Linked DNA regions of Rattus norvegicus. The protein of the gene in region 1 binds, or shares a complex with, the protein of each later gene. Links are inferred from orthologs where the notes say so. Each region holds a gene or a part of one and is shown in the gene's direction. Other genes may lie near its edges. The genes, in order: Eif3d and Eif3l.

Evidence for each region.
Region 2: Eif3d (region 1) and Eif3l share a complex: the UniProt entries of both Homo sapiens proteins name them as parts of the eukaryotic translation initiation factor 3 (eIF-3) complex. The link is inferred for Rattus norvegicus from reciprocal best matches to the Homo sapiens genes EIF3D and EIF3L.

What each region holds. Positions count from the first base shown.
Region 1 is NC_086025.1:111,422,654-111,426,465, reverse strand, and holds part of Eif3d (eukaryotic translation initiation factor 3 subunit D), read left to right. Parts: intron 1-773; coding exon 774-906; intron 907-1,613; coding exon 1,614-1,761; intron 1,762-2,343; coding exon 2,344-2,474; intron 2,475-2,961; coding exon 2,962-3,047; intron 3,048-3,167; coding exon 3,168-3,297; intron 3,298-3,812. UniProt on the Homo sapiens protein: mRNA cap-binding component of the eukaryotic translation initiation factor 3 (eIF-3) complex, a complex required for several steps in the initiation of protein synthesis of a specialized repertoire of mRNAs.
Region 2 is NC_086025.1:112,531,500-112,535,845, forward strand, and holds the start of Eif3l (eukaryotic translation initiation factor 3 subunit L), read left to right. Parts: upstream 1-1,514; 5' UTR 1,515-1,632; coding exon 1,633-1,837; intron 1,838-2,805; coding exon 2,806-2,960; intron 2,961-4,346. UniProt on the Homo sapiens protein: Component of the eukaryotic translation initiation factor 3 (eIF-3) complex, which is required for several steps in the initiation of protein synthesis.

The sequences.
Region 1 (3,812 bases):
ATGTAAGACTACTGGGTATGTTTTTGAAAAATCGAGACCCACAAAAAAAAAAAAAAAAAATGCATTAAGTTTACTAAAAGTTCCAGTTTCTTTCCACTCCTGACATCCAAGAAAAAGCACGGTAGGTCAGTTGCTAAGCTCTTGGGGTAGGAGAGGCATGGCAGATGTTCAGGAGACTCCACTTCTGCCCTTGTATACCAGAGCGCAAGGAGAGAGCTTCATTCAACCCAGAAGTCCACCCGTGTGCGTGCTTCCATAGTGGGCTCAGTTCCCCAGGGAAGGTTTACTGTGCTCTACAGAGGAACATGGGAGCTAAGAAAGCAGGAAGCTAAACTAGCATTAGAGTTTGTCTCTCTTTTTTTTTTAATACTTTTTTATTAATTTTATATGAATATACTGTAGCTGTCTTCAGACACAGTAGAAGAAGGCACCAGATCTCATTACAGATGGTTGTGAGCCACCATGTGGTTGCTGGGAATTGAACTCAGGACCTCTGGAAGAGCAGCCAGTGCTCTTAACCCCTGAGCCATCTCTCCAGCCCTCTCGTCTCTTTTTCAGAGAGATTAGTTCCATCTCTTTCCTATGTACTGGACTTCTGAGATGGGCCTCCCTTTGTAGCTGAGATTTAAACTTGGCATCCTCCTGCATCTGCCTCCCTAATCCTGGGATTATAGACATGCACCACTGCAATGCCTGGCGTGCACAGTAGATGTGCCTTCTGACTCCATGGCGTAAGAGGTGGGCGGACCTCTGATTTTTCTCTCTCCCCTCAGCGAGTGCTGTGGAGCACTGGAGTACTATGACAAAGCCTTCGACCGCATCACCACGAGGAGTGAGAAGCCTCTGCGGAGCATCAAGCGCATCTTCCACACTGTCACCACCACAGACGACCCTGTCATCCGGAAGGTGTGCACCCTTTGCCCACTTTTGGGAATGTTGCTGAGGCTTGAGAAAGAACAGGGCATGAGGTGTGCAGGTGTCCTTCAGTATTCACAGGGTTTGAATCAGGACCATCCCATAGGTACCAAAAGCCATGGCTGCTCCAGTCCCGGTGATGTGACTTACCTGTCAGCCCTAGCAATCTTCCTTCCGTGTTTCAGTTCCTTCTGGGTTGCTCACAACACCTAGACATTGGCTACTACTACGTAAGCAGTTGTTACACTGTTATTTGAGGAACCTGACGGATAGAAGGTGAACGTGTTTATCAGGCAAACTTTCTCCCCCTGAACATGTGGTAGACATGTTGGACTGGTGGATCCCACAGAAACAGCTGACTATGTGCATAGCCAAGCCTTAGATGAGGTTCTGAATCATACAGATGAGACTTGTTGCTAGGTGCACTTAAATATGTTAAGAGACATGCTCAAATTCCAGCTCTGCCAGGCTGACTTTGCTGCCCTGGTGCCTTAGCTTTCTTACATACAAAGGTAGAAGGATAGCTAGGCTGGCACCTACTGAGTGGAGCGTGTCCCGTGCATCCACCACAGCCTGCTGCAGTGACTGAGAGCCTCACCCAGCCTATTTGCTGCAGCCTCCTCAGGTGACTGGGGTATCTTCCTTCCCAAGTGACCTCAGAGTCCTCAGTTCACTCTAGTCTCTCTCCTTCCTTTCAGCTGGCAAAAACGCAGGGCAATGTGTTTGCCACAGATGCCATCCTGGCCACACTGATGAGCTGCACCCGCTCCGTGTACTCCTGGGACATTGTTGTCCAGAGGGTCGGATCTAAACTCTTCTTTGACAAGAGGGACAATTCTGACTTTGGTAGGCATGGGTGTTTTCAGTTCAGAATAATTACTTAAGAATGAGTAGTGTTTTGATCTCTCCCGTCCACTCAAAGAGACCACTTCGGTGCTTCTGTGGGCTTCAGCTCTGAGTCCTCACACCACTGTGGCCGTGAGTTACTATATGCATAGAAGTGTCCTCCGTTTCCTCTTCCTCTCTGTACTATAAAGAAGAATGCATATGCGTGTATTTTATGACACATGTGTATATACACACTGTCAATGAATCACTCACAGAATTATAGCCGTCTGATTCTGTTTGAGTCTCAAGCCTCATTTGTTAAAATGCCAAGAGAGACACATTCTCTTGAGGAATCCAGAAAGAATGAGAAGGAACAACTGAACTATGTGACCAGTGTTGTTGGGTCGCACCTAACGTTTTCAGTGAGCCTCCACTTCCCTGTGCATGCCACATTCTGGGGGAATCCTCTGTGAGCAGATGGCAGTTCTTTGGAGATGGGCCCCTATGATCTAGGTCCGTACCTCTACCCATACTGCTGTGCACACTGCCAGTGACTCTTGGCTACCTGAGTGGGTGACATCCATGCTTGGGCTTTTCCAGACCTCCTGACTGTGAGTGAGACGGCTAACGAGCCCCCTCAAGATGAAGGCAATTCCTTCAACTCACCCCGGAACCTGGCCATGGAGGCCACCTACATCAACCACAACTTCTCCCAGCAGTGCCTGAGAATGGTGAGTACACAGGAGCAGATGCACTGGCTTCTGGGTTAGGTCCTGCTGCTGAGCCTCTGCTCTGTGCTAGACAGTGGTGTGAGGTTGGCCAGGCACAACTCCTCCTGGTAGCAGGGATTGGAGCCACAAAAAGGTCTGTGTGCTCAGGCATATTTCCTCTCTATGGAGTAACTAATAATGCCTGTGTCACATAGACAGGCTGTGGAATGCCTTTGGATAAAAGGCCTTTCCATGCCTTGAGGATATGACATTGAATGAAGAGCATTGCTTGCTTTCCTGTTAGCTCAGCAGTCTGCTTGTGGTGGAGAGGGAAGCAGGAAGGAACATGATGGCTCTTACTCTGTGGAGTGTGTTAGGCTTGGTCCTTGATACATAGTGAGCCTACACCCTCAAGGACAGAAGCACCTAGCCAGGGCTGTCAAGAGCAATGCTGGGTCTGCCCACTTGTTATCAACCCCAGCTCCTGAAAGCTTTGTCACTTCTGCAGGGGAGAGAGAGATACAATTTCCCCAACCCAAACCCATTTGTGGAGGATGACATGGATAAGAATGAGATCGCCTCCGTGGCTTACCGGTATGTCGGCTCTGGGGGGGGTCTGACCAAGATTAGAGCACAGAACCTGTCCTGTGCTGTCCAGGATGGTCCGTCCACGGCAGTGGATCTTGTAGTGAATGAGTCTTGCTGTCTTCTTAGTTACCGGAGGTGGAAGCTTGGAGATGACATTGACCTTATTGTTCGCTGTGAACATGATGGCGTCATGACTGGGGCCAACGGGGAAGTGTCCTTCATCAACATCAAGACACTCAATGAATGGGACTCCAGGGTGAGGCACCATCACAGTTGTGTTCCGGCAGTGTGTAGTGGGGTTGGCTCTTGGGTACTCACACAACCATTGTGGGTGCAGGGATATCTCAAGTTTCCGTCACTGCCAACAGAGTAGAACAGTCTAAGTTAAGGTTTCTACCTTTATCTTCAAGCACTTTAGTCTGTTCATTCTGGCTATTGGCTCCTGTGGTCTGTGCATCTGATCTTGACCTCACCTTATCTTTGGAAGCTCTGGCCTCTTTCTTTACTCAGCCTCATTGCCACCTCATGATCTCTTTATCCAGTTCTGTCACTGCTGACCTCCAAAGACTAAGATCTGGACAGACACGCACACACAGTCCTCTTTGCGTTATCCATTTCCAGTGCTGCAGGACCTTAAGGTCAGGCGACGTCCTTTCTCCCTGGCTCTGTGTGTGGTGCCCTGAATTAAAGTGAAGGGCACGGGTAGGTGTTGCCTCTGTACGGAATAGAGAAAGGGTAGGCTGAGGTCCAGGCAGCCTGTGATGATTGCTT
Region 2 (4,346 bases), about 1.1 Mb from region 1:
GGGAGATTACGATGAGCACTCTGTAGCCCTGCTCTGATAGACGACAAGTCCCTGCCTGGAATCTGACTTTCTTGTTCTCTCTATAGACGCTGATGGACCTGCTCCCCTTGAACTCCCCAACCAGTGGCTCTGGGACATCATCGATGAGTTCATCTACCAGGTGTCTGTCTGTTCAGCCTCAGCCTTAACCTCAAATAAGTAATTCAACAGACAGTAGCTATAGTCGGTGTTGAATTATGTCTCTATCATGGCTGCGTGGCCCTGGGGCCCTGAGGCCCTGGGGCTCTGGGCTCTGGGTTAGAATGGTTTTCTGAAGAGAATAGTTGGCTGACCTTTTTTTTTTTTTTTTTTTTTTTTTCTTTTTTTCGGAGCTGGGGACCGAACCCAGGGCCTTGCGCTTCCTAGGTAAGCGCTCTACCACTGAGCTAAATCCCCAGCCCCAGAAAAGAATTCTTGAAGAGCTGCTTTTGCTCTCCAGAGATCTCCGGACAACTCTGCTCTCAGTAGAGAAAAATTCTAAAGAACTGCCATTGCTCTCTGCTGGCTCACCTCGCCTAGGTTTTTCGGTTTTTGTTTGTTTGTTTGTTTGTTTGTTTGTTTTTACATATCAGTCTTGTCTTTTACTCCAGGATTCCTTCGATTGTCCTATGAATCAGCATCCCATGACCCTAGCACCTTACCTCTTAGGAGGCAGCAAGCACACATTTTCTTTTTTTTTTTTTTTTTTTTTTTTTTTTTATTTTGGTTCTTTTTTTCGGAGCTGGGGACCGAACCCAGGGCCTTGCGCTTCCTAGGCAAGCGCTCTACCACTGAGCTAAATCCCCAACCCCGTTGGCTGACCTTTTGACTCAGGAGAAAGGAGGAGAATCCTCCGGCCAAGCTGTATCCCAAGATAAGCATAATCCCTTGGCTTAGCTGCTGTTCTTTTGTTAAGGGCTTTGAGGATCAGTCAGTAAGTGCCCTTGAGAGTCTTCAGGCCAGCACACTAGACAGTGGGTGTGGCACCTTCTTGGCACTCTTTTCTTTTAAATTGAGACAGGGTTTTACTATGTGGAACTCACTTTGTGAACCTGGCTGCACTTGAATCCACAGACATCTACCTTCTGCTGCTGGGATTAAAGACACTTGCTACCACCCTTTTTGGTGTAGTTTAGTGTTTTCAGTCCTCAGATAACATGAAAGTGCCTGTTTGTATCAGTAAGTCTCGGGACATTGGCGCATAGGTGTTTATATGAATTTATCTGTTACTTAAAGTAATATGCTTTTTTTTAAGGTTTATTTCTTTCATGTGCAAGTGTTCTATCTGGAACCTTTGTGCCAGAAGAGGGCATCGGATCCCCATTCCAGATGGCTGTGAGCCACCATGTGGGTGCTGGGATTTGAACTCAGGACCTCTGAAAGAGTGTTCTTTACCACTGAGCCAGCTCTCCAGCCCTACAGTTGATGCTTTATTTCACCATCTGCTGTGACTTGAAGACATACCCTTCGTCTTCATCCCAGTACTTAGGCAAAAACAGGATGTGTGGAAGTTTGAGGCCACCTGAGCCAGATAGCTTTGCTATTTCCACCTCTGAAAAGTTTAATGAAAGCCCGTGTCACATCATTCTCCGCATGTGACTGTCACTTGGATTTATGCCCCTGCCACATTGTTTCCTTCTGCAACAGTTCCAGTCATTCAGTCAGTATCGCTGCAAGACGGCCAAGAAGTCAGAGGAAGAGATCGACTTCCTGAGATCCAACCCTAAGATCTGGAACGTGCACAGCGTCCTCAACGTGCTGCATTCTCTGGTGGACAAATCCAACATCAACCGGCAGCTGGAGGTGTACACCAGTGGAGGTGAGTGTGTCTGAGATCTGCCTGTTCCACTGCCGCTGTGTCTTGAACCTTTGTCTGGATTAATACCGCTCAGAGTTTTTGTTGGAAATGCCTTATATGTTAAAAAAAATACTGTGGGTTGGGGATTTAGCTCAGTGGTAGAGCGCTTAGGCCCTGGGTTCGGTCCCCAGCTCCAAAAAAAAACCAAAAAAAATACTGTGAATATGTGTGAATGATGGTGGGCGCGTGAGCTCGTGCAGAAGTTGATGCCTTCTACCGTAACATGGATTTCAGGATTGAAACTTGGGCCAATGCTGAGCCCTTTTACCCGCTCTTCCTTATTGAGAACCATAAGGTTCTGATTATTTATATGTCACCACTCTAGTTGTAGGTATGACCCTGGGAAATGGGAGCCCAAAGTCTCCTACAAAAGCCAGCTCTACTTGGAGCATCAGACCATTTATGTTTCAAGACAGGGTTTCTCCTCATAGACCAGGCTGTCCTTGAACTCAGATTCACCTGCCTCTGCCTCCTGAGTGCTGGGTTGTCCACCGCCAGGCAGGAAACTTTAATAACAAACCCAAGTCTGAAATAAACCCACTCCTATTCACTACACCTGGGAGGAGCGCAGAAGCTCGTTCCAAGAACAAACTCAAATTTAAGAGGAACAGGTATGTGAGGATAAGAACAGAAACAATCAGCAAATGAACTGCCCTTCTCAAAGCAGCTGTTAGTCAGCAGAAGCCGGGAACACAGCCAGGTTCAGGTTCCTGAGATTACTGGGCAGAGGTGTTCCGTGGTATAGGAGGTTACCTGGTTACATGGGACCTGGCAGTGGTGGTCAGGCCTGGCCTGTTTTGTTTTGTTTTTGTTTTGTTTTGTTTTGTTTGTTTTTGTTTGTTTTTGTTTTTTTTTTTTTATTCTTTTTTTCGGAGGCCTGGCCTGTTTTATCTTCCCCTTGGAAACAGCATGGCATCTGTCCCTCACAGGTGACCCCGAAAGTGTGGCTGGGGAATATGGACGACACTCCCTCTACAAGATGCTTGGCTACTTCAGCCTGGTGGGGCTTCTGCGCCTACATTCTCTACTGGGGGATTACTACCAGGCTATCAAGGTGCTGGAGAATATTGAGCTAAACAAGAAAGTAAGTACACCTGTCTCCTCTGTTCCGACTTCAAGAACACTGACCTGCTGAGTAGCCAGGAAACACCCCCTATCCCCACCCCACACACCGGTTGAGAGCTGAGCCTGAAGACTCTGTGCTGGATGACTTGGTTGGCTGGCCATACTGCAGTGAGTACTCTTGGAGTCTGTGTCCTGTTTTCAGAACACGAGAGTGAGAGCTCTTTACTAGAGTTAAAGCTGGGCATGGGTTGCGCATGCACTCTGGGGAAGCATGGGCAGCAGGAGCACCACAAGTTCAAGGCCACCCTGGTCGCCATAGCAAGTTCAAGGTCAGCCAGGCTTCTATATAAATAAGAACCTGTCTCCAAAAGCAAAAACAAATTCCCGAGACACGTAGGGGTTTTTTGTTTGTTTGTTTTTTTCTTTGACCCAATTGATAAGATATAATTGTCCACTTAAACATACAAAGCCCAGAACCATCCATCCCTTAGGAACATTAATAACAACCTGTAAATACACAGAGCAGAATCTTAACATCACCTGCCATGGCTTCTCACCTTCTCTCTCCTGTCTCTTCCTTTCTCCTCTAGTCTCCTCCTCTTCCTTCAAACTTCTCTCCTGCCCATCCTTCCTTCTCTTCCAATGACAGGCCTCCTTCTATCCTGTACCTGCCCCTCACCTGTACTTTACAAATTCAATGGGGAGGTTCTGGTGAAGTCATCTGATTCCGGAGACTAGGTAGCTGTCCTTGGGGCAGTGGAATTAGCATCAAAATACAGATAACTTCAGGGCAAACCACAACATTTCCCCCTTTTTGTCCAGTTAAAAAGCCTTTTCAAGGGATTGGGGGATTTAGCTCAGTGGTAGAGCGCTTGTCTGGGAGTGACCAAATATCTATACACATGGGAAGCCTAACACGGCTTCCAGAACTGAGAGGTTGTAGAGACAAATCTCCACTAGCACAGTCCCCTGTTAGCAACATGTGAGCGCAAGTCTTCAGCCTTCTGGCCCAAAATCAACTGACAGACTCTCGAAATGCAGATTTTGAAGGGCTGATCACCCTGTCTTGGCAGAGTTTATCAGTCAACTATTCTGCATAATTTGTCCTTCTCTAGACAGTATTAGTCTGCGGATGAAATAGGCAGTTTTGTCCAGTGGCTGCCTAACCACAAAGTATTGCCTCACCTGGAGGTAGAGATGTTCAAATTCTTCATTAAATCTGCCAAAGGGGAACTGTTAGGAGCAGATATGTCTCAACGAAAGATAAATAACTTTAAATCTCAAATTTTGTGGATATCTGACGTTTTTGAAAACCATCTATCTATATAAGGTAATCTGAACTATTGTCTCCATATCCTAAATTTTATCTTGAAAGTACTCTTACAAACTCAGAGCCATGACTTTG